2 linked regions of the Anolis sagrei genome follow. The protein of the gene in region 2 binds, or shares a complex with, the protein of the main gene of each other region. Links are inferred from orthologs where the notes say so. Each region holds a gene or a part of one and is shown on either strand. Other genes may lie near its edges. The genes, in order: CNOT8 and CNOT11.

Region 1 (15,608 bases), on a different chromosome or scaffold from region 2:
GAAAGAGGCAAACCAACCTTTCCTGTGCTGGGTATGTTGAGCAGAATCAATTACTACCAGTAAGCAGGTGAGTGGATTCTGGGAACTCATGTTTAGACTTTGGCCCCAACTGCAGAATATATCATTATGTATATGCAAGCACAGGTATTTCACATTTTTTTAAAAAAACAATCCTCAAATCCCAAACATTTCTGGTCCCAAGCACTTGGGATAAATGACACTTAACCTGGATCCAATATAAGCACCTACTATGCCACATCTATAAAAGGCTACAGCTACATACAAAACTGCTGATTAAATTAAATCAAATACAGCTGTGGGAGGGGTACTGTTGACTGAGCCAACCTTAAAAACTCTGGCATAGACACTGAGAACTGGGAAGCCTTGGCCTGTGAGCACTCCAGCTGGAGGTCAGCTGTGACCAGCAGTCCTGCAGAATTTGAAGAGGCACGAATGGAGGGCGAAAGAGAGAAACGTGCCAAGAGGAAGGCGCATCAAGCCAACCCTGGCCGGGACCGCCTTCCACCTGGAAACCAATGCCCTCACTGTGGGAGACGATGCAGATCAAGAATAGGACTCCATAGTCACCTATGGACCCACCCTAGAGGATTATCCTACTCGGCCAATGAGGGATCACCTAAGTAAGTAAGTGAGTAACAGTTGACTGATGGTGGTGTCATAAATTTGGGGCTCCTCACACCGATCTGTTGTTGTGTTGTGTTTTCCAGCACAAGAAAAGTCGCAACTTGTAACATTGCAGTTTGTGACATATAGTAAAGAACAATGTCTACAATAAACACCAGAAACAACACTGGTGTTTTCACACACAAAAAATCGTAACAGCTTCCAGTTTTCAAGACACTCAAAACACAATCCAGCAATAGCAGTGCAATGATCCTAATCATGACTAATACTGTACAAATTGGATTGCTGACTAGGAATTTTATCAGTTCAGCTTCTCTAGCTATTATGGCAAGCATGTTTTACAGGTACCAAATTCCTTTTACTTATGACATAAGTCCAACCGAACATGGAGGTAACCACAAACACAATGGAAAAACTGCCACAGTCATGTTGCCTCCCCCCCCCCACACACACACAAACAAACAAACAAAAGCATCAGAACAGGAAGCAGTCAGACAAGTTAAGACTGCATGTGAATAAAAAACAAACATTATTTCACCATTATTAAATAAAATGTATCACTTAACTATTACAAGAAACTGAAAGGAGCCACAGCAGGGCATTTAGTTTCAGCTAAACATTAGAAAGCTAGAAACCGTTTTTGTATAACTAAGTCTACTGTTCATGTACCATTAACAAGTGCTGAAATAAGCTGCCACCATATGACCTCTTTGAATTTAATAAAGAGATAAGAAAGGTGAAACCAGTCCTCCCCGTCTTGAAAACATAACGGAAAAAACACCAACCAGGGGGTAAGAGAGAGAGAGAGAGATCTAGTCAAACAATTCAGATAGTGTTAAAAGTATGGTTATATTTTCATGGCACAGGGGTTATGGCTGTCACAGAGAATATTTATTCTCTTGAGATCAAAATAACTGACCAGGAGAAACAAGATGATATGCAAACCAAAGGATCATGGATATCACAAGGTATTCAGCTCTTGGACTGATAGTTCTTCAAATATCATGGGAAATGGTGTTGGTCAAAGGAACAGGAAAGTTATGTCTTATAAGATACCTTGCCATTGACATGATTTTGGACCAAAAGAATGTCCTTACAAGTTTATTTACACGAAGTACTGTACTGGGTAACTTTACAATTAGAATAGAAGAGATACGAGTTTGCACTATGTGTAGTCCATAGGAGGACATGACTACCTAAATATAAATGTCACTGACATCATACACATTCTTTAGATGTTGGGGGGGGGGGTGTGCCTTCATGTTGTTGCTGACTTATGGCAACCAAATTAATTCTACATGGTTTTGTCTTTAGATATACAGTTGGGAAGTGTTCAAGGACAGATACCATATGAAATGAACTTTGGTACCATTGCTGTTGGAAAATATAGACAATGTGTTGTTGGAAAAAAAGGGGGTTGCCAAGAGGGATGTTGAAATTCAGGACTGTCCAACTATAGCTGTTTGTGACCCTGTGGTGGTAGCAAAGAATAGTAGGATGCTGCCTGGATCCAATAAAGTGCTTATGTTATAGATACTGTATGACTGAGATTCTCAAATAAGATGCTGAGATCTAATTATTAATTTCTCAGAAAAGAATGTCTTCACTAGGCTAAGAATAACTACTTTATAAGAAAGAGCAATGGCAGATCATGATTAACGTATCCCTAAAATTCTCCACACAAAGTTTAATTTGCGTATTTAAAAAGATTTCATAAGTTGAAATTTATTTACAGCATCAAACAGTTCTGGTTTTATCAATGCCCTTGAGGCATGCTAATCTCCTGAATACAATAGCTAACTAGCCAAAGGTGCTGTATTGCGTATTGTTTTGTAGAATCTTTTGAATATAATGATTGTAGTTGTCACAAATTTCTGCGTGAAACAAGAGTTTTGTTTCAGTTGTGCCACATATTAAGAGAACCCCCATATATGAAGACATTTTTAATATAAAAACATATCCTGAGTGTAATGTCTTTCATTTTCTACAATCAGGAAACACTGCATTCAGTCTGAATTTTATTACTGCCTTTTCTTATCCTCCATGCCTTTCACAATACAGATTAAAAGCCCAGGGGGGAATCAGAAAATTGGATAAGGTTAACACAGAACTTCCTGCCAAAGAAGGACCTGAATAAAGAAACAATTGGGGGTTGAGGAGGAGGGAAGCAATGAACATTTTAATTTTTTTGGAAAGCATTCAATGCTTTTAAAAACAAGAACCAAGCAATCTCCAGCATTAGGATATTGCAACAGAGATCCTGCTTCTGCTTGTCTCAATGAAGATGGCTTACAGAAGGAATGAGAACATCAGTCACTGCTTCCAATCAGTTGGATCACAGACCTCCATCAAGTGCCGGGCCTTCTACCCAGCCAGTAGGAATTGGGGTGAATGGGATTCACTGTGTAACACTATAAATATGGTGCCCATGAATCTATAGCTTCCTAACAAGAATCTGACAATTGTTTTAGTCATTCGAAATGTGAAAACAGAATATTTTAAAGTAATGTCTGTATATGTCTGTCTATTGAAGACATAGACATTTTTAAATTCCTGACATTTCTGCATTTCTGGGATTGTACTATCTTTACTAAAGGATCTCAGTGAATCTTATATTCTTGTGAACTGATATTTGCTTCCTGCTTTGCAATCTCCGATGTAATTGAGATATGTTGTTTTGGAGTGCCTTCAAATGATTTCTATATCATGAGAACACTAAAACAAACCTAGTATAGAATTTTCTTGTTCAGAGAGGGTTTGCTCTTGCCTTCCTATGAGGCTGAGTGTGTGACTTGTTCAAGGTCACCAGTGGATTCCCATGTCTGAGCAGGTAAACATGTACAGGACTGCCCTCAAAATATATGTAAATTTTATTTTTTTTAAATCATCAACAATATCTATGAAATTGTTAAAAGAGAACAATCATCCTCCACACTTGCTAGGGTAATGGGTATAAAACCCTTGTGAAAGTGAAAACCCACAAATAAAGAAAATTCTATTTTTTTTACATGAGAAAATATATTGCTAAAAATTCGTAGTTCTTTCAACATGACTATGATCAACTTATCTTGGAAGCTGATGCACTGGAGAACCTGGAGAAATTGTACTTCTCTATGCGCTATCACTTGGAATTGTTTTTTTGAACAAATACTGCACTAGTTTATAAACAATTATTTGTATGCACAATTACACAGTTTATGCCCTGTATACAAGAAGCTTTTTTGTATCGATTACTTAAATGACAAAAAAGAAATGTTATTTGCACTGAACAAAAGAGCGGACTACTTCCCAACATGTTCATTCAAGGTGCTTTACTTTAAATTATGATAAGAATGTACTTTCATATTCCCTCTTCACACGAAAACCTAGCAAGAGAGAACTCTGTAAATACACACTGCATATCCCCTATGCAGCCAAATGAAATGCTCCAAAATTGTCCATATGAGTAGCTGAGATAGCAAAACCTTTCTGGTGGTTCAATGTACAAAGCTCATGCTCAAAATTATTAAAATGTATATAAAATTATCTTCAGACTATGTGTGGAAGATGTCTGTAAAATATAAACGAATTTAGCACTTGGGGGTCATCTTCAAGGTATCTCATTATATACGTAGATGTAAACAAAGGTATTCTAAAATCAGAAACAAAATCCTTCTGGTCTAAAGCATTTCAGATCAGGGATACTCCACCTGAACCACCTTTCTAATTGTGTCTGCTTCTTCCTTCATGATTGCACTATACCTAAATGTGCTGCTCAGAAGCAAAGAAAGGGAAACAATAGGAGAGGCTAGGCCATAAGCAATATTCACACAAGCACACAATGCTAGGCCCAGTAAAGCTCCTCAAAAACCAGGAATGGAAAGGCATCCCTCTTTGGCTCAAATCCCTTACATGTATGTGCCTTCAACTCTCCTGTTGACTTATGGAATGAATTTCATAGGTCTTTCTTAGGCAAGGAATATTTGAAGATGTCTTTTGCCATTTCCTTCCTTTGAAACATGGCCTATAGTGCCTGCTATTCCTTAGTGATTTCCCACCCAAACAAAGAGATATCTGACCTATTTATACAGATATGGTACAATAACTTGTTAGGCTATATACTTCTTGAGGGATATCTTATGTGTATAAAAAGGAAACTCATACACATATATATGTGCATATACATACACATCAAGTTGCCCGCTGATTCTTTGAATTTCAGAGGGTTTTCTTCAGGAAGGAATATTCAGAGATGTTTTCTGCCATTTCCCTCCTCTGAAATATAGCCTACAGCACCCGCTATTCCTTATTAGTTTCCCATCCAAGTATAGATAATTGTCCTATTTATACACATACAGTAGAATAATCTGTTACGGTTGCATCCTTTTAGGGGACTATACCATGTGATTAAATGTACTTTCAAGGTGCTCATCAGCTCAATGAATTCCCTAAGGTTTTCCTAGGCAAGGAATGAGGTGTTTTCCCCAGTTCCTTCCCCTGAATTATAGCCTAAGACGCCTCCCTGGCGGCCTCCCACCCAAGTGTGAACTAGGCCGGCCCTGCTTAGGTCCCTTGCCCCTTGCAACATGGAGGCCTTCCTCCTCCTTCCACTGAAGGATTCGCAGGACTGTCTCCTCTGCAAACTCGACCCCCCCCCACCCCCCACTACCACACACACACACGCCGTTTCCCTTCCAATTGATTCATGAGGGGCTGAGCCAGGTGCCTGCTCTCACTTCTGAAGGGGGATTTTGGCAGAAGGGAAAAGCACAATCCCGCCAAGGAACGAGCACGCTCTCTTTCTCCCTTCCTCTGGGCCACGTTATGAGGCAAAAGGGCAGCCAGCCGAGGAGGCTTCGGGGAGAAAAGGAAGACCGCGAGCAGGAAATCCGGTCCGTCCCGCTCTTTCGCTCCCTCCCCGCCTCAGGAAACCCCGCGGCCGCCGCCGCTTCCGCCGCCTTACCGGAAGAAAACGGCGCGCGCCGGCCCGTCCTCGCTCTCGCGTCGCCTGTGTTTGGGGCTGAGGGAGGGGGGAACCGAGGAGGAGGCCGTTCTAGGCTACCTCCGTCCCATCACTCGGTGATGCGATGTGGATGTTTTGTTGTCGCCTTTGTTTTGCTTCCTCCGCTGCCTCTTCTCCGCACGCATGCGCCCTGGAGAGCAGCAACGACCCTCCCAAGGTTGGGCACCGGAAACGCAAGGGAAGCGCGCGCCTGTTTGCGCACGCGTGTGGAGCCACCCCAAGGGACGATGTTTTTCCTAATGCGCATGCGTGTGGAATCTCCTCACAGGACGCGCTTTTTCTTACTACTCATGTGCGTGGAGCCGCCTCAAGCGATGCTTTCCTTCCTACTGCGCATGCGTGTGGGGCCGCCTCAAAGGACGCTCTTCTTCCTACTGCGCATGCGTGTGGAGCCGCCTCAAAGGACGCTCTTCTCGCTACTGCGCATGCTCTTCTGGTCTGACTGAAACTGGAGCAGCCTGCGGTTCGTGGGGAAGCCAGGCTGAGAGGCGGCTCTGTGGGAGTGGCGACGGAGAAGGAGCCGGTTATCTCTGCTGACAAAGTGTTTTGTAGCATTTAAAACTTCTTTCCTGGGTACTCTTATTAATGTGGGCATAAACCCTTAATGTTGAGAGTGTGCTATGTGGGAGAGGACTGCCTGATTTATAAGGAAGTGGCCCTGTTAGTCTCTTGCAGCATAACAAGGGGGAGAGAAGCAAGAAAGATGGCAACATATTTAAGTAATTTGGAGGGGGCAAATACATACACACATATATATATAAGACCACTTATTTAGATGCAGGGCAGAGTGAGAATAAGCCAGATAATTAATTACCTTTATTGCATCCAAAGGTGTGGGTTTATATCCCACAGAAACGCTTGTGAAAATAAAAAGGAGCTCTCACATTTCTTTTTTCTCCCTCTTCTTTCTTCCTTTTCATAATTTCGTTTTCTGTGCCGGGCGGGGAACATGAATGGGACTGTGATGGCATACTTGAGCTTTTGGGAAGACTATTGTCTGTCTTTACTCAGGGGCTATCGGATACCTTCTGTTAAGATTAAGTCCCTTAGCAGACAGAAGCTCTTTAGGCAAAGTGAAAAGATAACCAAAATGAGTTTACTACAAACAAGAGGAATAAAAGAGTTAACTCCACTCGGGACTATCATTAGGTAACTTAAAACAATACATTACAAAAGGAGAACTTACTGGTTGCAGTCATATTTCTGGCATCTTCTGCCTCTGATGTAAAGTAGTGAACTGTCACAATCTTCTTCCTTGTGAAGCTTAGGCTGACCAAAAGCTTCTGTTGTCCTTTGGACTGTAGTATATAAAAATACTGCTAAATGCACCAGGTGCTAAGAATGCCTGTTTTTGGATTCCTTGGCCTAGGATTACCAGACAACGCCACAAGCCTGTAGAAAAGGGAGGAGTCCATCAAGAGAGCACTATACAGGGAAATGAAATAGACCAGCTAAGACTGGCCTGTGGGGGGATTTTAAGATTCACGCAAAAACGAATACAAAGAAAAGTCTCTACACTATTGGGAAGGCCTGTATACAGGGAGAACTAACACAGAGGAGAGGAGAAGGCAGAGCCAAGACTTCACAAGGACCATCAGAAATTGGTGGGCAACTATCATTCCTAGCCTTTGGAAATGCTCAGTTGAGATTCATTCTCAGTTACTTCCAAAGGGTTGTTGCACTCTTTGCTAAAAGGCTTATCCTTTTTAAAATAAAAGAATTTGTTTCTAGGTTTAAAGGATTTATAAAACCAATCTGTGATTTGGGGGGATAAATTGTTTAAGGCAGAGCTTTCCGAACATTTTATGTTGATGACACACTTTTTAGACATGCATCAATTTGCAACACAGTAATTCATACACACACTTTCTTCTTCTGCAGATCCTGCTGCTTGGCTCACCATTGTCCTCTCTTGATAACATTCTTCATGATGTTAACATTAATGCTGAGAATCTCCTCCTTCTCCCGAATTTCTCTTTTGGACTGACTTTTTCATGCACTTCTTAGGGCCATACAGTAGAATATGGTGGACCCAATGTCTGTAGAATAGTTAATCCAACTGGGGTTTATTCCAAAATTTAAATCCCACAATATCTGCTTTGAAACGGGATTATCTGAGTCCACACTGCCATATATTCCAGTTCAAAGCAGATAATGTGGGATTTTATTCAGTTGTGTGTAAGGGACCTTTGATAGTTTCTCTAAAACCGGGCTGAGTCCCTCAGTGAGGTTGAGAAGCTCGGTATAGAAAACTGTGAAATAAATAAATAAATAATAAAATTTGAAATAAAAGGCCATAATGGATTTGCTGCTTTACTAACATGAGCACTACTGGGATATTCAGTCATCTGAAGACCTTTGTCTCAGCCTTTCTTCTGTGGTGCTTTGATTTGGCCTTCATCTTACCTCCTTCGGTAAGGCTTAAGCCCTTTTGTTTCCCCAAGGAACTTCAGCTCAATTATTTTTCTTGACCTACTCCTTAAACACCAGAGTTTCAATCTTCACTTTATCCCTGCTTAAACATATTTATTAGAAAAATATACAAAGGAATCCAGAAACACCTTTGAAACTTAGATAAGAATTTTCTGGCATAAGCTTCTGTAAACTGCAGTGCATGGAGTGAAATCTCTGTGGACAGAGATATATTCCAAGGCAAGGGTGAAGGAATGTGAAGTGTAGTAGCAATTCAAAACATGGAGTGGTGAGAGATTTCTTTAATTGTGATCTTTATTTATCATGTCAGTAGCAAAGCAAACAGTTGTATTGAATTTTTTAAAAAAGCAAACAAACAAATCACAAAGTTTGTAAGCTTGGTAGTTGATTAAATGCCCTTTGACCAGTAGCTGGCCACTTGGAGCGCCTCTGGTGTTACTATAAGAAGGTCCTCCATTGTGTATGTAGCAGGGCTCAGAGTGCATTGCAGCAGATGGTCTGTAGTTTGCTCTTCTCCACACTCGCATGTTGTGGATTCTACTTTGTAGCCCCATTTCTTGAGGTTGGCTCTGCATCTCGTGGTACCAGAGCGCAGTCTGTTCAGCGCCTTCCAAGTTGCCAATTTTTCTGTGTGCCCAGGGGGGAGTCTCTCATTTGGTGTCAGCCATTGATTGAGGTTCTGGGTTTGAACCTACCACTCTTGGACTCTCGCTTGCTGAGGTTTCCAGCAAGTGTCTCTGTAGATCTTAGAAAACTATTTCTTGATTTAAGTCGTTGACGTGCTGGCTGATACCCAAACGGGATGAGCTGGAAATTTCACTGCCTTGGTCCTTTCACTATTGGTTTTCACTATTCCCGGCAGATGTCAGGTGGTGCAATACCGGCTAAACAGTGTAATTTCTCCAGTGGTGTAGGGCGCAGACACCCCGTAATAATGCAGCATGTCTCATTAAGAGCCACATCCACTGTTTTAGTGTGGTGAGATGTGTTCCACACTGGGCATGCATACTCAGCAGCAGAGTAGCAAAGTGCAAGGGCAGATGTCTTCACTTATGATCATAAGTAGTTTATTAATATTATACCATAAGTCACTCCCATACAATATTTAATGTAGCAGTATAAAAGTACTACATAAAATATATGCAAAATATTCAATTCAATGCATACATTAAATATAAACAATACTGTAAAAGCATCCCCAGAGGAATTGGTTGGAATATCAGTGATAAATCTTGCCTAATTTTTCATCTCAGCCAGGGCAAAAAAAGAAACCTTTCAAGTTACCATGGAATTAATATCAGACAAGAGATTAAAAAAAATTCTGAAATATTATTAGAAAATAAATAAGCTAGAAAAGATCCAAAAAATTTGCTTATTGGTTAAGAATATGATGAACAGAAGAGGAAATAACAGGACAAATCATCAATTTCTAGGGCTCCACAAATAGAGGATCAGAAGAATACAAGGATATCTGCCATCAATCATAGCAGTAGGCATGGCTTGAAAGCGAAGGGCTGTAAGCATTTGCCTAACTTTGGAAGTATAAGCTTAGCCAGGTAAGCCCCTTGATAGTCAAATTATAGTCTCTGCCATTTTGAGAAATTTGTTATTAAGGCCCGTCTGTCCAGTTGTGTACCATGGTGAAAAACCATACTCGCAATACTTTAGAATTCAAGATAGAACAATTGTCAAGCAGAGTAGGATACAGTTGAAGCAACCTTTTATATCTTGAACTCCAAACTGCAGTTTGATAGCTGTTCAAAACGTATTTTGAGGAAAACTCCGGCAAATCTTTCAAAATTCTCCAGTAGTTAAATAAAATGAAACGTGAGATCTAATAGAAGGTAAACTGACCTTTGCCTGAACTAGGGCTGCAATGTACCAGATGAAAGTATTTGCAATTTCTCAAGAAATGTTTTCTTTTTTAGTCTCAATTGTTGTTATTTTTTTAAATGCAATTTAAAACTCGTGTATTCTGAAGAGCTTCCATTTTTGAGAGTCTGAGGGCCCTATCAAACAGGCTCTATATCCCAGAATCTGAACTTAGGTTTTCTGTTTCGCCTAGATTATCCGGCAGCGCGGTCTCATATAATCCAGTTTAGAGCAGAAAACCTGGGATCAGATCTTGGAAGATAGGGCCTGTTTGGAAGGCCCTGAAAGTCATCCCATCCCCAGACAGTGCCACTGTACACAATCAGGGCAATGACTGAACTGGAATATTTTCAGGCCTATTGACCCCCTACATGGTGGAAAAAAATCTAAAGATTGCTCCAACAGATCTCAAGATTACTGCTTTAGTAACTTCTATATGAGGCTTCCAGGAGTGGCTTTCTGTAAAAAGAATGCCCAGGAACTTAAATTCCATGCATTGTTCAATCTCATGACCACTGAGAACAGGATGTCCTTTTCCAAAAATTAGCACCTTTGTTTTAGTATAGTTAATGTTCAGTTATTTAAGAACAAACGGTGCTGAGCGTAAAGAGCAGCCTTCTCAGACCTGTAAGTGGAATTAAACCACATTATCTGCATATAAAATAAGACAGCTTTGTCCCAATTGAGGACGGACAGAATTAAGCGCCAGGAAATAGTGGGATTATGTAGTTCAGGTATAAATTAAAGTGTTATGATGGAAACAGTTATCCTTGCTTTATTCACCGAGACAAAATCAGTTAATGAGCCAGAAATGCCAACTATTATTTTAGCATTCCTGTTGGAATACAAGTTCTTGGTTAATAACATTAAGTGATTAAGTGAGCCTGTGTTAGATGGGGTTACACTCCCCCTGAAGACACAGGTTCGCAGTTTGGGAGTGATCCTGGACTCATCGCTGAGCTTGGAACCCCAGGTCTTGGTGGTGGCTGGGAGAGCTTTTGCACAATTAAAACTTGTGCGCCAGCTGCGCCCGTACCTTGGGAAGTCTGATCTGACCACGCTCTTGTTACATCCCGAATAGATTACTGCAACGCAATCTACATGAGGTTGCCTTTGAAGACTGTTCGGAAACTTCAACTAGTCCAGCGGGCGGCAGCTAGACTTCTCACTGGAGCATCATACAGAGAGCATACCACCCCTCTGTTATGTCGGCTCCACTGGCTGTCGATTCAGTTCCGAGCACAATTCAAAGTGCTGGTCTTGACCTATAAAACCCTATACGGCACCGGCCCAGCGTACCTGTCTGAATGTATCTCCTTCTACGTCCCGCCTAGGAATTTAAGATCTTCTGGAGGGGCCCTGCTCACGGCCCCTCCCTTGTCACAAACGAGATTGGTGGGGACGAGGGACAGGGCCTTCTCGGTGGTGGCCCCCCGCCTGTGGAATTCACTCCCCGGGGAAATTAGATCATTGTCATCCCTCCTCTCTTTTAGCAGGAAATTAAAACATGGATATGGGTCCAAGACATCCAGAGAAGAAGACTCATCACCCCTTGGGACAGTTGGTTCCTTGTCAAACCATTCTCACTGTCAAGAAGTCCCTTCTAGTGTTAAGTCAAAATCTACTATCCTATCATTTGAGACCATTTGATATGGTTCTATCCTCTGCACTCTCCTCTCCGTGAGAGCCCTTGAAGTATTTACTTATTTATTTATTTACAGTATTTATATTCCACCCTTCTCACCACGCAGGGGACTCAGGGTGGATCACAATGCACATATACATGGCAAATATTTAATGCCATAGACACACAACATATATAGACAGACACACAGAGGCTATTTAGCTTCCAGTTTAATGAGCATATGTTCGAATTCCAGCCATCAGGGGAGCTGTTGCTTCACAGTCCACTTGTGACACCGATGGAGTATTTCCTCATTCTTTTGCACGCTGCTGGAGATTTTTATGGCGTCGTAAATTAGTTAAAGTAGCCTCCCAGCATAAGTGGTACCTAAATTTCCTACTTGACAGATGCAACTGTCTTTTGGGCTGCAAAGGTCAACAACAAGCTAAACAAATGGTCGTGAGCTTACTCCAACCCGGGCTGGCTTTGAACTCATGACCTTTCTGTCAGTAGTGATTTTAATGCAGCTGACTCCGAACCAGCTGCGCCACAACACTTAATCTCATCTCCATCAAGATAAATATGCCCAGCTCCTTGTATGTTTTTTTCCTCCGTATCTTATCACCCCCTTTACTCTTCTCTGAGCACGTCAACTTGTCTCTGGATCTCTTGCAGGTACCTGCTGGAGATGTTTTAGTTGGGGTTGAACCAAGAGGTCCTTCCAGTTCTGTGATTGTGCCTGGCGATTCCTTGAATTACCTTGTTACCTGGTATCAAAGTACTAGGCAGGTCACAACTTGCTTAGCTTTTAAAATCAGATGGGATTAGGTGATGTACTTTTACTTCTTGCACATCAGAAGAAGGAATATTGATTTTTAATGCTGGCTTAGTTGCCTCCCACATACTGGCTAAAATATTAGGAAAACATGGTAGTGGGCCAAAAACAGCCAATGAGAGTAAGAAAGAAAGATTTAATGTAGCCCTACTGTCTGGTTGTTGAGGTTTAGAGTAGGTAAACAAGAGAAAAAATCCCCTACTTATTGTACTAGGGAAGGCTGTCTGGTGAAAGTGAACTTCATCTGTTTTGTGTTCTTTTCCATGGTTTCATTCTCTCCCTCCCTCCTTTATCCTATGTGATTCTTGACTGAATGTGTATTGTATCCCTTTAGCAAGACTGTAAGACCACAGTAAAAGAATAGAAGAAATGAATAATGAGAATGTAAAAAATGCTGTCCTAAAGATCTGCAACTTGGCATATAATGCAAACTCAGCAGCACCATCCCTTTAAGTGGCGTTTGCTACCAGTGTTACAGATTTGGGGGGGGGTATTGAAGAGGATTAAGAGATTGTAAATGTGTCCCCCTTTACCACTTGACATTATTCTGTAGGAATAGAAGAAGATGCCTGAGTCAAACACCACTGGCTCCTGTAGCCCATTGCAGACAGGCAACAAAGACTCTTCAGCTTTTTAGATGGAAATTCTTTCCTTGACCTTCCTGGAGATTCCATAATATTTCCTGTTGTTTTCCCGTCCAAGTACTGAGTACAGAACACCCAGAAAACAATACCCAAGATTCTGTGCCAGCAGACAAACACACTGGTTAAGCAGCACTAAGGAGGGGATACTATTAAAATGCCACAGAGGCAATGGCAACAAAGAGAATAAAGGGGGAAAATGAGTCAAGATGTTTTTACACTGCCTGCTTCTAGGTGGGCCCTCAAAGCTAAAAGCTCTCTGCAAGGAAACTATAATTTGGCCAGCGGGGGGGGGGGGGGGGTAAAATCACCCATCCTGCAAAGGTGGAGACAGCTTCCTTCCCACAGTCACTCCATAAACTGAGAAAAATGACCCATGAAAGCATTATCAATTGTTATGGTAGCATAGTTTCCAACAAATTTCAAGCCATCTGATAATCTTTGAACTGTTATATATGAGAGGGGTAGAGACAATGTGGAAGCCCTCATAAAATTCCTATGCGGATATTGTGGTGTTTAAGCACAACCAAGGGCCCTTCCACACAATCCTTATATCCCAGAATATCATGGCAGAAAATCCCACATTATCTGAGTATGGACTCAGATAACCCAGTTCAAAGCAGATATTGGGGGATTTTCTGCCTTGATGTTCTGGGATATAAAGCTGTGTGGAAAGGCCCCAGAGCAATGTGAATTGCTGCTTCTTTGATGAGGTTACTAAGCCCTATGACAGTTTTAATAAGTCTGTCGTAAATTATTGTAATCTACCTGTATAATCCATTATTAATTGATTACACAATTGCCAGCCCCAATTATGATCTTGGCTCTAGCTTCATGCATGTTGTTTGCAGGTCAAGAGGAATCATCTGCTTCCTTACAGCCCGCCCCTCCTGCCCTGTCAACAGCTATCATACCGAAAGCAGTAAAAACAAGAGGAGAGAGGAAAAGCAGAAACAGTTTCTGGGAAGACTGGAGATAGTGCGAACTCTCTATAGCTGCAGCTAAGCACAAACTAGGCAGGTAAAAAAGAGAGGAGGAAATTGATGAAGAAGAAGCTATTACGGATTTTGACATAGGCTTAATAAGGAATATGAGCAAGTATTATGGATGAATGGTATTGTGCGCTTTATATGTTTTGAATCAGTTATTATTCTATGTGTTTTATTTGCTTAACTGTTTTAATTGTTTAATTGATGGGATATGTTTTATGGTTATGTTTTAAACAGCATTGAATCTTGCCAGAGTTGTAAGCTGCCTTGAAGTCCCCATGTGAGGGTGAGAATGTCGGTGTATAAGTGAAGCAAATAAATAAATAGTAAGACACAGCTTTCTTTGCTTCTTTTTTTTTGCTGACTTCTTGAATTTTAAGAATAAAAGAAAGAAACTGTATGCTTGAGAGAGAACCTTGAGATAAACGTTTATCTCTATAGTGAAAGTGTGCCTGTCATGAATTGTTAATAATAATAATAATAATAATAACAATAACAATAATAATAATAATAATAATAATAATGAACTTTATTTATATCCTGCCCTATCTCCCCGAGGGGACTGTGAATAGTGAATGATATCATGACTGAAATGCTGTGTCTGCTTATTTGTTTAGTTGGGAACAAGTAGTGAACTTGGAATTCATATTTGAGCATATTTATTTATTTATTTATTTATTTGCCATCTTTCTATCCTGCCCTTCTCACCCCAAGGGGGATTTAGAGCAGCTTACATATATAGGGAATTATGGTGCTCATCTTGCTTAACATTTAGTGGTCTGTGCAATTACTCAGAAATGAATCTTATAGAGTTCAGTGGATATTACTTATAGGGAAAGGAAATTGTGCACCTTTTGTGCTTCTGTGAAATTTACTTTTGAGTAAATATGCACTGAGCTGAGCTGCTTGTAATTGTCATGAGTACTTACTAGATTCCCACTGCATTTTTTACAGGATGAGGAGACAGCCAAGGATTTATACACCTACATGCGTAATACAAAACAACAAATAGTCTTGGGGAACTTAATAAGTTCTAGTTTTAGTGGATTTCACTCAAATCAAATCATATTTTACGCGGAACTTGTTAACTAGCACTTTTGCTACTATAGACTTGGGTCCCTTCTACACTACCATATAAAATCCACATTATCTTAGAACTGGATCATATGAGTCTACACTGCCATATAATCCAGTTCAAAACTGATAATCTAGATTCTATATAGCAGTATAGAAGGGATCTAACATGGCTCCTTGACCTGCTCCTGATATATGCAAAGAGTAATATAGCTTCCTATGTCTTTGAGTTCGCCTTAGTTAGTGTCAGTATCAAGATATTAAGCTTAAGTCCTGTCATGCTCTTTAGGGGAATACTGTTACTATGTTGTATGAACACTGTTACTGTATTGTGTCTGTCCATCTGTTAATTCATTTGTTTAAGATGCTATATGCATGTATATGATGATGTATGCATCATCCAGTGATGATGGTAGGTGTAATACTTTTAACATGCTGATATCACTCCCTTGAGTAGAACCTTGTATGGAGAGTTTTCATTAGTTAGGAATTC
Region 2 (15,111 bases):
ATGGCTTTGGGGGGGGGGGGGGGACGACTCAGTAACTGCAAAATCATGGAAATCTAAGACTAGTTAGCATGTCACCATGTCACAGATCCTTGCATTTCTCTCCAGCTTCTTGTTCATTCACAACAATTGTGATAACAGTAAGTTTTAAATGATCTTGAAACAAGTTAGTAGAGTCTACAATGACAGGGAGATCTTAGGCCAGACTTTTACCCAGTACAAGCAAACTATGGCCAAAATCAAACAATGAATACTTTTCATATTTATCGTTACAAAAGACCTAACCCGGGCATGGCCGGGTACCTAAGCTAGTTCAAAATAAAACAACTGGAGATGTAGTTTAGTACTTATTCATCAATTCCAGGAAGTCTGCTTTGATTTGAAAGGAAGGGTTCTGGAAAAAAATACTGATTTCATTTCACAGGTCCTTAATCAACAAAGTCTTCTGTCAAATAAGCAGTACTTAAGATAGAACCTTGCCAAATATGTTTGGTTTTTTCCACAGGCAGGGATATATCATTGGACACAGGTTTTAACTGGTAAAACAAGTGGTACAATTGCAAAAAGAATGAAACGTTTGGAAACAATATGCAGATCACATGAAGAATATTTTGCAGTATGGAGAGTAAAAGCACCAAATTTAATCAAAATATATTTCTAATGGCACTTTGCTTTTGAAAGTGGTCCAACTGCTATGAATGCTGTTATCATTCCAGCACCACATCAAAACATTGCTTGTTTTTCACCTAATTAATTTTATTCAATTTGCACATGTGCTATGATTAGCATTCTTCAACATTATTTTAGCTAGTTCTAAATTGCATCTGTGGATCATTTATGGGTCTACATAAATGATTTAATAAGACAGGACAGATATATTTGATTGATAAATAAGACACCTAATATCTGCTTTAACATGACATAATGCAACATTCCAGGTGTAAATTTGTACATCTGTAAACAGACAGTCCCCAGGACTTTATACAGTCAGTCCTATGGACAAGATCGTCCTATGGACAAGATAGGTTCTGTAGGTTTGTTCTTAAGTTGAATTTGTATGTAAGTTGGAACAGGTACATTTGTTAAGTGTAATTTGAACCAAATTTTTTTAAAGTTTTCTCTTCCTGTCTGTACTCCTGTTCAGAAGATTCCATCTCACTTTCTGTCCCTGTGACAACTGGATTCTGAAAAATTTGAGTTACCATGGAAACAAGGATTGGTGATAAAGCTTTAGTCAAGATACCTTTTTCCCCATGATAATTCTTTCAGGAGTGCATTTCCCTTCTCAGGGGTATGTTTCCACTGCCTGTTGTCTCACCTCCATTCTTAACTAGAAGTCAGATATCTGTAACTTGGGAACTGCTGTGTATGTTTCATAATAAATAGAGTATTAAATATGCCACTTCCAAAATCCATAGGCTATCTTATAGGATCACGCATAAATATATCTCTATGCACTCACAGTGATCATCATGCCCCCACACCAAACAATTAAAAAGCCTCAATTTTTTAAATTATGGATTGGCATAATTTGTTGTCACCTAAATGCCACAAATGATTTGTTTGATCACAAAAGTCAATGTACTTTTAAAAGTGACTTACGGAGAAAGGAGTAATCCTTACTATCTTACACGCATACACTCTCCTACCCAAAATCGACATTTCACTGTACAGCAACCAAACTGCAGCAACACAATTTATTTCTTACCCGCCAAAGCCAGCTGGAGGCCACTTATGTCTACAGATTGGCCCATATTTCCTACATCCATTGATGCAATCTGCCGTGGAGTCTTTTTGAACAGCTCTCTCGGGGGAGCCAACATCAACTGGGAAAGAAAGAATCTCTCTGGCGGTGTTATTGGAGGTAAAAAACCTGCGAAGAATAATAACAGTCATACCACAAAAGAAGTATTTTACACGTACTGAAGTGTCAAATCACAGTTACTCCAGAATTGCACAGCAGAACAGTGACTGTTGGTAGTGGCACCAAGGGACTCCCAAGAGGGAGGAAAAATTAGTGAAACCCGCCTGCCTTATTTTCAAAACCAGGAAATTCTAGTTAACACAGTGGAAACCTTGGGTACATTCAACTATTTTCTATGAATGTAAGAACTTTGTCTCTTTTAGAGCAGGAAGCTCTGGATGCAGCTAATTAAAAAGATCAAATAAAGGAAGAAAACAGTTTGGATGTTGCACTAATAGCTAGTTTTTCACAGGCAAATTATGTGTGTGTGAACATAAGGGAATAACAAAAAAGAACTACGAAGGTACTGTTTGGCTATAAATTAAGCTAAAATATCTAGACAGACTATACATGTATACAACTATATTTAGCTTTTGAGGGATCTTAATACAGTATTTTTGTAAGCTATATTTCTCATCTCGTTTACCCTCATTTGAGAAACTTTCAGAATGACTTTATAATAATTGTCACTGCTTAATATATTTCTGATACTAGTGAACAATTGTTTGTGATGTTTATCAAACCCATCCTTACAATTCTGCAAAGAAAATAATCATTCTTTTCCTTATACTCGTAGATGAAGTACTAAGTCAAGAAAATGGCAACTTACTCAAGGCCATCCAGTTCTAAAACATACAGGTGCTACCACATACAGGAAATAAGTGCTAGCAAGCTGCCTTCTAACTAATTTAATGGTTGCTCAAAACTAGAACTGGCCCTCCAGGAATCTTCCATCTGTTGGTAAAAAGGATCACAAAGAGGGGGGATTTTAACGCCTCCTCCCATGTCCCACCTACACTATGATATTTTAATGACTGTATGTGTTTTTATGGTTGGAAACCGGGCTGAGTCCCTCAATGAGGTTGAGAAGTTCGGTATAGAAAACTTTGAAATAAATAAAAATAAATAAATACTTAATTGACCAGAGAGATACATCTGATTACACCTCACACATCTACTCCCTGCTACTCCTTCATAAATTATTCGAACAGAGAAGGGAGTCATGACTGAAGGACAGTTTACCCTGCTTCCAACCTGCCCTGGGTGGTAGAAAGAAAGAAACAGGAAGTAGACCAACCACTGACCACGGCATTAACTACTTTTGTCAGAAAGTGGCCTATGACTTTAAAATTATGCACTCAAACATTTCCACTGCTGGCCTGATACAACTTTATGAGATACAGACAGCAGTGCTGTGCAATTATATATAAATACAGCTGGAAAATATCTATTTTGCTGAATGGGAATTCGACAAGAACATTTTAACTGCCTATAATTAGCACATATGAATGCTTGTGTTTCCCCTTACAAAGCAATACAGTTTGTAGAAATGTTTATTATATCCAGAATTGTAAAATATTATGGGTGTTATACTCAGGGGGTCCCCCTGAGTATAACAAAATAGAAGGCCTTGAAATAGTGCTTCACTCACTAGCCATTTTCCTCTGCTTGGTAATTTAACCAGACTTATTTAATAAATCTTATATATTATGGAAGTGTGGTAGACAGAACTGATACTTAGCAGGCATTGATAAATTGTCTTGTTTGACCAGAAAAAGATCATAAATGACATTTCTCAGACTGGAAACTCCTTTTGGACTTTTTGCAAAGAAAGAAAATGCTTTGGTAACTTTTGAGTACGATTATTAAAAAGAATTTATTATAGAAGCTTAGCATATGCTTATTCTAGACAGAGAGATTATATGAATAATCATTTTCTTCTCCAAACAAGTGTTCTGTAGCATTTGGAGACTCCCATTAGTTATAAGTTTTATAATTGTGTTGAATTTCAGACACGGAGTCTGAATTTTTCATCACGTTGTCCTACCATTGGCCAAGAATTGCCAGTGCCATGTTGGTTTTGCAAGCTCCAAGAGTTAGCAATACATACAATATGTCTCCTTATTGGCCAATATTTTTATAGTTCCAAATTATATACGAACATGGTACAGTATCCATTATCCAAAATGCTTGGAACCAGCAGTTTTTTTTTAATTTTGAAACATCTGTATTTGCTCATACATACATGATGAGATATCTAAACACAAAATTCATTTATGTTTTATATATACCTTGCACATATAGCCTTAAGGGAATTTTATACACAAGATTGTAATAATCTTGTGCATGAAATAAAGCCTGTGTACATTGAACCACAAGAAAGCAAAGGCGTCTCTATCCCAACTACCCATGTGAATAATTTTGTATATTTCAGATTTCCAGATAAAGAACATATATAGTATGTATAACTTCTGAAAATATGATTGGAAATCTTTTTTTCTTTTCTCTACCTCTATTTTCTTTTGTTTTTTCTAGATATTTTTCAGTGTAATTTTAAAATCAATGAAGACAACAGCAGATAAAGCACTACTAGAGAAACCTTCTGTGAAGCACACTGCAACAACTATATTTAATTTTTCATTATTGTTATAGAGGTCTTTCAGTGTAGTGTTTAAAATCAATGGCAATAATATCAGTAGATAAAGCACTACCAGGGTAACCTTCTATGAAGGCAAACAGAACAATATCTATTTACTGAAAAGATGAAGATAAGTCATCTGATTTTTTTCCCTTTTTCCTTATTTTTCTCTTTTTTCCCTTTCCTTTTCCAGATAACTTTCAGTGTAATGTTAAAATCAATAACAATATCAATAGTGACACCACTATCAAAGAAGTCTTCTGTGAAGGCACACACTGTCAAATTAAAACTGCTGAAAAGACAATAGAAATAATCTTTTTTCTTTCTGTATTTCTTTTTAAAAATGTTAAGATACATTTAAGTGTAAAGTTAAAATCAATGATAATTTTAAAAGTGTCTAGAGCGACTTGAGAAACTGCAAGTCGCTTCTGGTGCGAAATAATTGGTTGTCTGCAAGGATGTTGCCCAGGGGACGCCTGGATGTTTTACCACCCTATGGGTGGCTTATCTCATGTCCCCGCATGGAAAGCTGGAGCTGACAGGAAAGAGCTCACCCTGCTTCCCCAGATTCGAACTGCCAACATTTCAGTCAGCAGTCCTGCCAACACAAGGGTTTAACTCATTGTGCCACAGGGGCTCCACAACAAAATTAGCATCACTAGATAAAGCATGACTGAAAAAACATGTGAAGGCACACAGCAGCAATATCTCATTGCTGACAAGATGACAGTAATAATCTTATTGTTCTCCTTCTTTCCCTTTTTCTTTCTATTTCTCCTTTTACATTTTACTTTATTTTTTTCTAGATATCTTTCAGAATAATATTAAAATCAATAATTCAGCAATACATACTAGAGAGACCTTTTGCGAAGGCACAGACATCAAGATTTAACTGGTGACAAGACAATGCAAAGTATTTATTTATTTATCGTGTCAGAAGCGAACCAAGGTTACAGTTGTAATGTATTTAAAAAACGCAAACAAAGTTAAAAACTTGGCATTATACTAAATGTCCTTTGACCAGTAGCTGGCCACTTTGAGTGCCTTTTATTTTCCACCCCACTTTTTTCTAGTTCTCTTTTTCTCATACTTATATATCTTTCAATATAATGTCCTTTTTCCTTCCTTAAGCTCTGAGAGGGGGGGGGGAGGTAGTTTAACCCCCCTAACATTGGTCATGATTGGTATATATGAGCCAGCTTTCTCCAGACCTATTGTGGGTGGGATTCACATGCTTCTTCAGATGTGACTGGACTACAACTCTCATCTTGCTGTATCAACCCCGCCCCCAGAGATGCAATCGGTGAAACCCAGGACTGCTGACCAAAAGGTCGGCGGTTTGAATATTGGAGGTAGGGTGAGTTCCCATCTGTCAACTCTAACTTCCCATGCAGAGACATGAGAGAAGTAACACATCTGGATGTCCCCTGGGGGCAACATCCTTATAGACGGCCAATTCTCTCACACCAGAAGCAATTTGCAGTTTCTCAAGTCGCTCCTGAAACGATAAAAAAGCTAAACAAGAAAACAACCCACAAGTATTTTAATTTGGATCACGAGGGATATGTGTGCCAAGTTTGGATCCATCACGCAATATAGGAGCACGTGTGGTTCAAACAAACAAACATCCATACCTAGCTGAGGCCTGTACCCTCCAGGTGCTTGGGCCTCCAACTCCCAGTTGGTCCAATGGTGCAGAATTCTGGGAGTTGGGAGGCCAGATCAGCTAGAGCAGGCCTGGGCCAACCTGGGCCCTCCAGACGTTTTGGACCCCCAACTCCCACCATTCCTAACAGCCTCAGGCCCTTTCCTTTTCCCACTCTGCCGCTGCGGCTGAGGGGGAAAAGGAAAGGGCCTGAGGCTGTTAGGAATGGTGGGAGTTGGGGTCCAAAACGTCTGGAGGGCCCAGGTTGGCCCAGGCCTGGGTTAGAGGGCCACAGGTTGTGCAGACCTGAATGGGTGGCTTACCTGAGAGCGGGGGCTTCTCGCCGTCGTCGCCGGCGCCTCCACCCCCCGCTCCGGCCGGGCCTGGCCCAGCTGAGCCGGATCCCGCGGATCCCGGGGCGGCGCTGGCGTTGGGCTGGGCGGCGGTGGCGGGGGGCGCTCCGGGGGCGGCGCTGGCGCGCTCGGGCGGCGCGGGGTTGAGGAGGTGGGCGAAGATGGCGGCGAAGGGGTTGGCGGCGAGGGGCTCGGTGCGGTACATCTCCCAGAGTAGGTAGAGGGCGGTGAGGCGCTGCGGCGGCGTGGGCAGCAGGTCGGGCTGCTGGAGGAGCAGCACTAGCACGGAGCCCACGCGGAAGTGCTCGGCCTTGCCGAAGTAGTGGTGGAAGGCCGTGGAGAGGCCCTCGAAACTGCCCCCGCCCGCCTCCTCCGAGACGATGCTCAGCAGGCTCGACAGCTCCTTCGGCGAGAGGCTCATCTTCTCCTCAGGGCAGGGCGGCTCCAGTCCGAAGGAAAGGCCGCCGCGGGCGAGAAGGCCGCGGCCGGGGACCGAACCCGCCGCCTCTGGGGCTCAGCCGCCCTCAGAACAACTCGCACGGGCCCCGCCCCCGGGCATCCAGCCTCGACCCACCCCCTCTCCCTCTCCCTCTCTTTCTCCTCACGGCCTCTTCCTCTCCCCTCTTCCTCCTTGCGCGCGCTCTATTGTTCAGCCTCTCACCTTCCTGCCGTAAAGCTACCCCCCACCGCGCGTTTTCAACACTGTCGCAAAATTAAAGGCAGAGGAGCGGGAAACTGGCCCGAGGGCGGGACGGAGGGAGGGAGGAACTATCATTCTCTCTCTCCATGGGCCAGATTGATTTTCGCCGAGCCTTGCCCATCTGATTGGTTCTTCCCAGCTCGGATACTTGAGGGAAAGACTGGATTGGCTGCTCGAATTTGGAACGTCAGCAGGAGGAAAGGGATTGGCCGATTCCTTTTTCAGGCGGAGCGCTTTCATCAGATGACCCGAGACATGTGTCGCCTTACAACAACAAAACTTTATTTCTATACCGCTCTACCACCCCTAGGAGCTGTCTTCATAGACCTGTCAGCAGCTTATGATACTGTCAGTCACCGCCTCCTCCTTAGAAAAATGTATAATATCACAAAGGACGACCACCTCACCCGCCTCATAGGAAACCTGCTACAAAACAAGAGCTTTTTTGTTGAGTTCCAGGGCCAGAGAAGCAGATGGCGGAAACAGAAGAACGGCCTGCCTCAGGGGAGCATGCTCGCTCCATCCATGTTCAACATCTACACAAATGACCAGCCACTGCCAGAAGGGACAGAGAGTTTCATCTATGCTGACGATCATGCCATTACTGCTCAAGCAGGAAACTTTGAGATGGTTGAACAGAAGCTCTCCGATGCTCTAGATCAGGGGTCCTCAAACTTTTTAAACAAAGGGCCAGGTCACAGTCCTTCAACTGTTGGAGGGCCGGATTATAATTGGAAAAAAATAGAAATTCCTATGCACGCTGCACATATTTCATTTGTAGTGCAAAAAACACTTTAAAACAATACAATAATTAAAATGAAGAACAATTTTACCAAATACAAACTTATTAGTATTTCAATGGGAAGTGTGGGCCTGCTTTTGGCTGGAAAGGTAGGATTGTTGTTGTTGTTGTTGTGTGCTTTCAAGTAGTTTCAGACTTAGGTTGACCCTGAGCGAGGGCCTGATAAATTACTTTGGAGGGCTGTATCCGGCCCCTGGGCCTTAGTTTGAGGACCCCTGCTCTAGGTGCTCTTACTGCCCATTATGGGGAAAACCCACTGATCCCTAATCCATCTAAAACACATACATGTGCTTTTCACCTCAAGAACAGACAAGCATCCTGAGCTCTGAGGATTACTGGGAAGGAATCCCACTGGAGCATTGCAGCACACCCAAATACCTGGGAGTCACTCTGGACCATGCTCTGACCTACAAGAAGCACTGCCTGAATATCAAGCAAAAAGTGGGTGCTAGAAACAATATCATATGAAAGCTGACTGGCACAACCTGGGGATCACAACCGGACACAGTGAAGACATAGGCCCTTGCGTCATGCTACTCTGCTGCTGAGTATGCATGCCCAATGTGGAACACATCTCACCACACTAAAACAGTAGATGTGGCTCTTAATGAGACATGCCAGTGGTGTAGGAATGTCTGCGCCCTACACCATTGGAGAAATTACACTGTTTAGCCGGTATCGCACCACCTGACATCTGCTGGAAAGTAGCAACCAATAGTGAAAGGACCAAGGCAGTGACATCTCCGGCGCATCCTCTGTTTGGGTATCAGCCAGCACGCCAACAATTTAAATCAAGAAATAGTTTTCTAAGATTTACAGAGACACTCGCTGGAACACCTCAGCAAGCGAGAGTCCAAAAGTGGCAGGCTCAAACCCAGAACCTCAATCAATGGCTGAAACCAAATGAGAGACTCCCCCCTGGGCACACAGAAAACTGGGCGACATGGAAGGCGCTGAACAGACTGCGCTCTGGCACCACAAGATGCAGAGCCAACCTTAAGAAATAGGGCTACAAAGTAGAATCCACGACATGAGATTGTGGAGAAGAGCAAACCACAGACCACCTACTGCAATGCAGCCTGAGCCCTGCCACATGCGCAATGGAGGACCTTCTTGCAGCAACACCAGAGGCACTCCAAGTGGCCAGCTAGTGGTCAAAGGACATCTAATAGAATACCAAGTCTGCAAATTTTGTGTTTTGTTTGTTTGTTTGTCTGTTTTTTAATGCAATACAACTGGTTTGGTTCGCTCCTGACATTATAAATAAATAAACCCCGAGGGGACTCAGAGCGGTTTCCAAGTAACATCATCAATACATTCAAAGTAAACAACATAAAATTAACAAGACAATATAAGCATAAAAATCACAATAGCACATATATATTTAAAATAATCCTGCCTGTTCAAGGCAATTTAAAAGGCCAGGCCAAGGCTAGTGCAATTTGTAGAGGGCCCAGGAAATTAGGTAGAGTCTATGGCTGTTCATTTCCAGGGCCTAATAGGAGGAAGTAACCTGGGTACTTGGTAGAAAAAGATATGACCATATTCAACAGTATCTGGGGCTGAGCTAGAACTAGTCGTCCTCAAAGTCTTGTTTAAACCACCAGATCTTCAGGCTCTTATGAAAGGAGAGGAGGGATGGGGCCTGTCTTACTTCTCTAGGAAGGGCGTTCCAGAGGCGGGGGGGCCACCACCGAGAAGGCCCTCTCTCTCATTCCCACCAACCGTACTTGTGACGGGGTGGGAGCGAGAGGAGGGCCTCCTTGGAAGATTTTAAAGTTTGTGCCGGTTCATAGAGGGAGATGAGATCGTGAAGATCGGGGCCCAGTGTTTCTCAATCTGTGTGTCCCCAGATGTCTTGGCCTTCAACTCCCAGGATCCTAACAGCTGGTAAACTGGCTGCAATTTCAGGTAGCTGTAAGCAAAACACCTGGTGACCTACAGGTTGAGAACCACTGCCTTTAGAGCAAGCATGTTCTGCCAACATAGCAGTTTGAAAACATGCCAATGTGAGTAGATCAATAGGTACCACTCTGGCGGGAAGGTAACAGCGCTCCATGCAGTCATGCTGGCCACATGACCTTGGAGGTGTCTATGGACAACGACGGCTCTTCGGCTTAGAAATGGAGATGAGCACCAACCCCCAGAGTCAGACACAACTGGACTTAATGTCAGGGGAAAACCTTTACCTTTACCTTACCAAGAGCAAGCATGGGCAAACTTTGGCCCTCCAGGTGTTAGGAGTTGTGTGAGTTGAAGTCCAAAACAGCTAGAGGGCCAAAGTTTGCCCATGCCTGCTTTAGAGATTGGCATTCTCTTTTCCATACAGAAAGTCAGGGTTGAAGGATAATAACACTATGTAACACGAGTTTTGTTCCTAGGTTATAAATGTTGTTTCCTGTTTGGTTCTATCCTGGGGAAAAGGTAGCGTATACATTAATAAATATGGATGCTGCTTTCTCTTTTTCTTATGTTTTTTTCCTGCTTTTTAAAAACACTTTTCCAAGATGAGGAAACAAATTTAGAGGGGAATCGAAATAATTGCCCTAGGTTTATTTTATTACTTTAGTAACATTAAAAAGCTTCATTTATAACTTGCTTAGCATATTAAAATGGTACTGTTTGGTGTGTTCATGAAATTTAAAAGCCTTACGTTCATATAAGCAAAATTGTGAATTATTAAAGAGTTATAACTCTGTGCCACCTAAACAGATAATAATAATTTACTACATATAAGACATATAACCGGCCTGAGTCGCTCGTCGGAGGTGAGAATACCAGTATATAAAAGTTCTAAATAAATAAATAAATAAATATAAATACGTAAAAATAATTTTATATTTTAAATTTTAAAAATTAAACAATATTGTTTGATTTTAACCAGTTTTATCTGTGAGCCATCTTGAGTCGGATTTGCACGCATTATTCGCCAATACATCACACAGTCCTTGGGAAGTGTCTGGCATGTGATCAAATACAAAAGCCAGTGGAATGATCTTGTTTGCTGTGTACTAATCTTGTTATTAATCTAATGATGATGATGATGAATTTATTACCCGCCTCTCCTTGCGGCTTGAGTCAGGGTACACCATTATTACAACAAGAGATAAATCGCTATTAAAAGACATACAAGATACCCAGAGTTAAAATATAAATTAAATCCATTGATAAAATTTAGATTAAACTTCACAATTTAAAATTTACTGGGTAGGCCTACCAAAAGAGATGGGTCTTCAATTTGTCTTAAATTCCAATGTGCTCTGGATGTTGCCATCTAGAAAATAGGAAATTATAAAACAGAAACCACACGTTTTGTAAGATATAAAATTAAGTATCATTCTGATACATTCACTCTCTTAAGAATTAGGCTACCACAGTAGCTTGTTTACATATTTAACTCAGCCCTGAGAACACAGCTTTTCAATTGTGTGTTATGCAAATTACATAACACTAATTGTGGACAAAATTAGCTCGTTAAATAATTAGTGTCTTTGTCAAAATACTAGCCTCTAATGAAAACCAGGTTTGTTTCTGTAAAATAAACTTTTGCCAATTTTTAAAATTATTTTTGTCCCCAGTGTCCTCTAGAGGATATTTTTGCCACCCTGGGCCAATTCTGAAAGGAAAATAAGCTGGAAGCATTTCCACTCACTTATTATTTAAAAGTCCTCTTCTGGGCTTAAAACGCCTGGGATGCACAACTTAAAAACATTGCAAAAATGTCCCATTCATCTCTAGGGAAGAGATAATTTGGGGAGTGAGGGGAGGAATTGCAGCCCTCCAAGATTTCCTCTAGGGCAGTTTCTCAACCTGGGGGTGGGGGTCGGGACCCCTGGGGGGGGTCACAAGGGGGTGTCAGAGGGGTCACCAAAGACCATCAGAAAACACAGTATTTTCTCTTGGTCATCAGGGTTCTGTGTGGGAACTTTGGCCCAGTTCTATCACTGGTTCAGAATGCTCTTTGATTGTAGGTGAACAATAAATCCAAGCAACTACAACTCCCAAACGTCAAGGTCTATTTCCCCCAAACTCCACCAGTGTTCACATTTGGACATACTGAGTATTTATGCCAACTTTGGTCCAGATCTGTCATTGTTTGAGTCCACAGTGCTCTCTGGATGTAGGTGAACTACAACTCCCAAACTCAAGGTCAATGCCCACCAAACCCTTCCAGTATTTTCTATTGATCATGGAAGTTCTGTGTGCCAAGTTTGGTTCAATTCCATCGTTCGTGAAGTTCAGAATGCTCTTTATTGTATGTGAACTATAAACACCCCAGCAACTACAACTTCCAAATGACAAAATCATCCCCACTCCCACCCCACCATTATTCAAATTTGGTCGTATTGGGTATTTGTGCCAAATTTGGTCCAGTGAATACATCCTGCAAATCAGATATTTACATTTCAATTCATAACAGTAGCAAAATGATAGTTATGAAGTAGCAACAAAAATAATTTTATGGTTGGGAGGTCACCACAACCTGTATTAAGGGGTCATGGCATTAGGAAGGTTGAGAACCACTGCTCTAGGGCTAATATGTTGGTTATGTGTATTCGTCAGTTTGCTCTGTAGCAATTTCATTTGTTTTTGTATTTCTGACTTAATAATTTTGTTTTACAATCATATATACAAAACACTTTTATATTTGTATTACTCTTTCCTCACCTAGTATGTGTTAGGCAGAGCTAGCTATTTCTTGTAAGTTTTTATGCACATTGGTAGTGTTATATAGGCAGAGTGTGTACTCGATTGTATACGTTTGGCAGAGCTAGCTATTTCTTGTGGGTTTCTATGCACATTGGTAGTGTTATATAAATTGGTGATTATGATGACTATAATAACCCATCTTGGATGCCTTTCAGTTAGCTTGTTTTACAAGAAAAAGGAAGTGAAGAAATAGCACAGTGTTATCACTACCTCATAATGCTATAGGGCATTTAAGAAGGAAACTGGAACTTCTTTGCTTCACCAGGAAGCGGTCTACAATGGTCCAAATTCTATTTTGAGGTGCTGGAGAGAGCAAGACATATTTAGTAATTCATAGAGGCTGCTAGGACCTGCAGAGTTCATCTGGCCCTCAGTGCAGATGCCATATGGTAGCCTTCATTTTGGGGGTAGAACAGAAAGAGAATGATAAATGAAGTCATAATTTCTTTTATTTTTTGCATCTTTTATGCCAGCAGAACTGTGTTCTGGAAGCAAATAAAATGCTTGTGATACATTTACATAAAATCATTACCACTGCAGAACAACTGTGGATAAAGTTTTAAAAACATTTTATGCCATTTGCTTCTTTATTTGCTTCTTGCTTCATGGCTTCTATTTCTACTTCTTGTTGACAATATTTTATAAGTGCCTTGAGTAGCTTCTTGGATCATTTTTCTCTTCCAGTATATTGTTCCACATCCAATTCTTTAGTGCCTTTGAAGTATGAAGTATGTCTATAGTGTGTCTATTTTCCCCTTCATCACATGATAGAGGATGCTTTTATACAGTACTATAGCAGCAAATGCATTTAATAGGGAATTATTGATTTTCCCTAGCAGCCCTGATATATGAACACTGCAGTCTTCATAGCTAATATAAAGCATTACATATATTTTTAGTTTTGAAAGGAGTTTATGATTTAGGGTGACTTTAAAAGGACACTATCATGGGATTTTCTTGGCAAGTTTTAGTCAGGGGGCGGGGGGAATGTGACCTTTAGCCTAAAGTCTGAGAAAATGTGACCTTTGCCTAAAGTCACTTGGTGGGTTTCCATGGCTGAGTGGGATTTGAACCCTTTTCTCCAGAGTAATATCCACTTCATGGATAACAGAACACATTTATACTGTACTCCATTTCTTTCTGCAGCTTTGAAAACTCCAGTAGTATATTTGAAATTCAAAAGAAAATATGTAGAAAAAGCAAGATAGCAAGGCAAGGCATACATTTTCTATACTATAGTGGTCAGTAATAACAATATTGATATAAAACAGACGAATTCTGGCATTGTTGTGATTTTTTTAAATGCCTTGAAACACGGTATGCACTTTTATTGTGTGAGTACAGTTCAAATGCTATCTTCTGTACAGCTGCCTAAAAGTCAGCCAGAATAACATGGAATGGAAAGTAAAGGTGTTATTGTGAAGATTAATGGGCCTAAACAATGTGTATGCCTATTGTGTCTGTTATGGCCACACACAAAAAGGAGTGGGGGTGAACAGAAACAAAGACAAAAACTTATTGAAAAATATGTCAGTTGAAGATTTATGAAGTAAAACAAACTAAGGATATTGCATAACATTCTCAAATAGTTTTGTGGGAAGATATGTAAGACCGACTATGTGCATTCCTGTATATATTTAATCATAAAATATCCTTGAATGTTATTGATCACATCAACTATGTGTTGGCAGGACAACTTCCTACAGAAGTAATGCAAGAATAATCATCATTCTTACTTCTATTATAATGCCTTAGGGAAAATATTCTCCAAAGCACTCTAGTTTGACCCCCAGCTGTAAAAGGTAATCAAGATGCAGGGCACAAAAGTTTAGAAAAAGCTACTGAGCAGGCTGATTCTACAATGGCCCTATTTTGGTGCCAAACTAATCGGTATAGTATATCCAGGCTGCGGCAGTTTAATGGCAAATTGTTACTACAGAGGGAAAAAAGCAACAGCTATTTAGATACACAGAATGGAATCTTGGCCTCTAGTTAACCTGCTGTTTAAGGAGAACATTTAATTGTACAGCACCCTTGAAAGTACAAAGCTAGTTACTGACTCTTGCTAATTAACGTGGCCAGAAAGGCAGAGCCCTTGCTTGAGAGGACGTATGATATTGGATGTTTTCTATGATAAAACCATAGAAAGAATTTGCACTGTTCAGCTGATTTCAAATAAACCATGAGCAAAATGTTCCAGCATGTTGTAGTGGCTAAACCCTAGCTATTTATGTGCAATGCTAATTATCTATAATATAATATAAAGATCTAGTCACCTTAATCTGTTTCAGCATAAAAATATTGTAAGATTAACTGAGAAAAAATATTTATTATATTAGCTTCCTTGAACTTCAACCCACTCCATCTGGTGTATGAAGTCTTGGTAGAGACATAAATATACCAAAGTGGAATGGGGAAGGAGTGTATATAGCAGTAGAAATGCAAAATATTTACGTATGGTGATGAGGTCACAAATTCATTGTCAATGATGTTTTAAAAAGTAGTCAAAAGGATACTGGAAG

What was found.
Region 1: CNOT11 (region 2) and CNOT8 share a complex: the UniProt entries of both Homo sapiens proteins name them as parts of the CCR4-NOT complex. The link is inferred for Anolis sagrei from reciprocal best matches to the Homo sapiens genes CNOT11 and CNOT8.

The regions. Positions count from the first base shown.
Region 1 is NC_090022.1:81,792,625-81,808,232, forward strand, and holds the start of CNOT8 (CCR4-NOT transcription complex subunit 8), read right to left. Parts: upstream 5,903-15,608; 5' UTR 5,588-5,902; intron 5,524-5,587; exon of another isoform or gene 5,361-5,523; intron 1-5,360. UniProt on the Homo sapiens protein: Has 3'-5' poly(A) exoribonuclease activity for synthetic poly(A) RNA substrate. Its function seems to be partially redundant with that of CNOT7.
Region 2 is NC_090023.1:103,545,796-103,560,906, reverse strand, and holds the start of CNOT11 (CCR4-NOT transcription complex subunit 11), read right to left. Parts: upstream 7,127-15,111; 5' UTR 6,799-7,126; coding exon 6,348-6,798; intron 1,871-6,347; coding exon 1,706-1,870; intron 1-1,705. UniProt on the Homo sapiens protein: Component of the CCR4-NOT complex which is one of the major cellular mRNA deadenylases and is linked to various cellular processes including bulk mRNA degradation, miRNA-mediated repression, translational repression during translational initiation and general transcription regulation.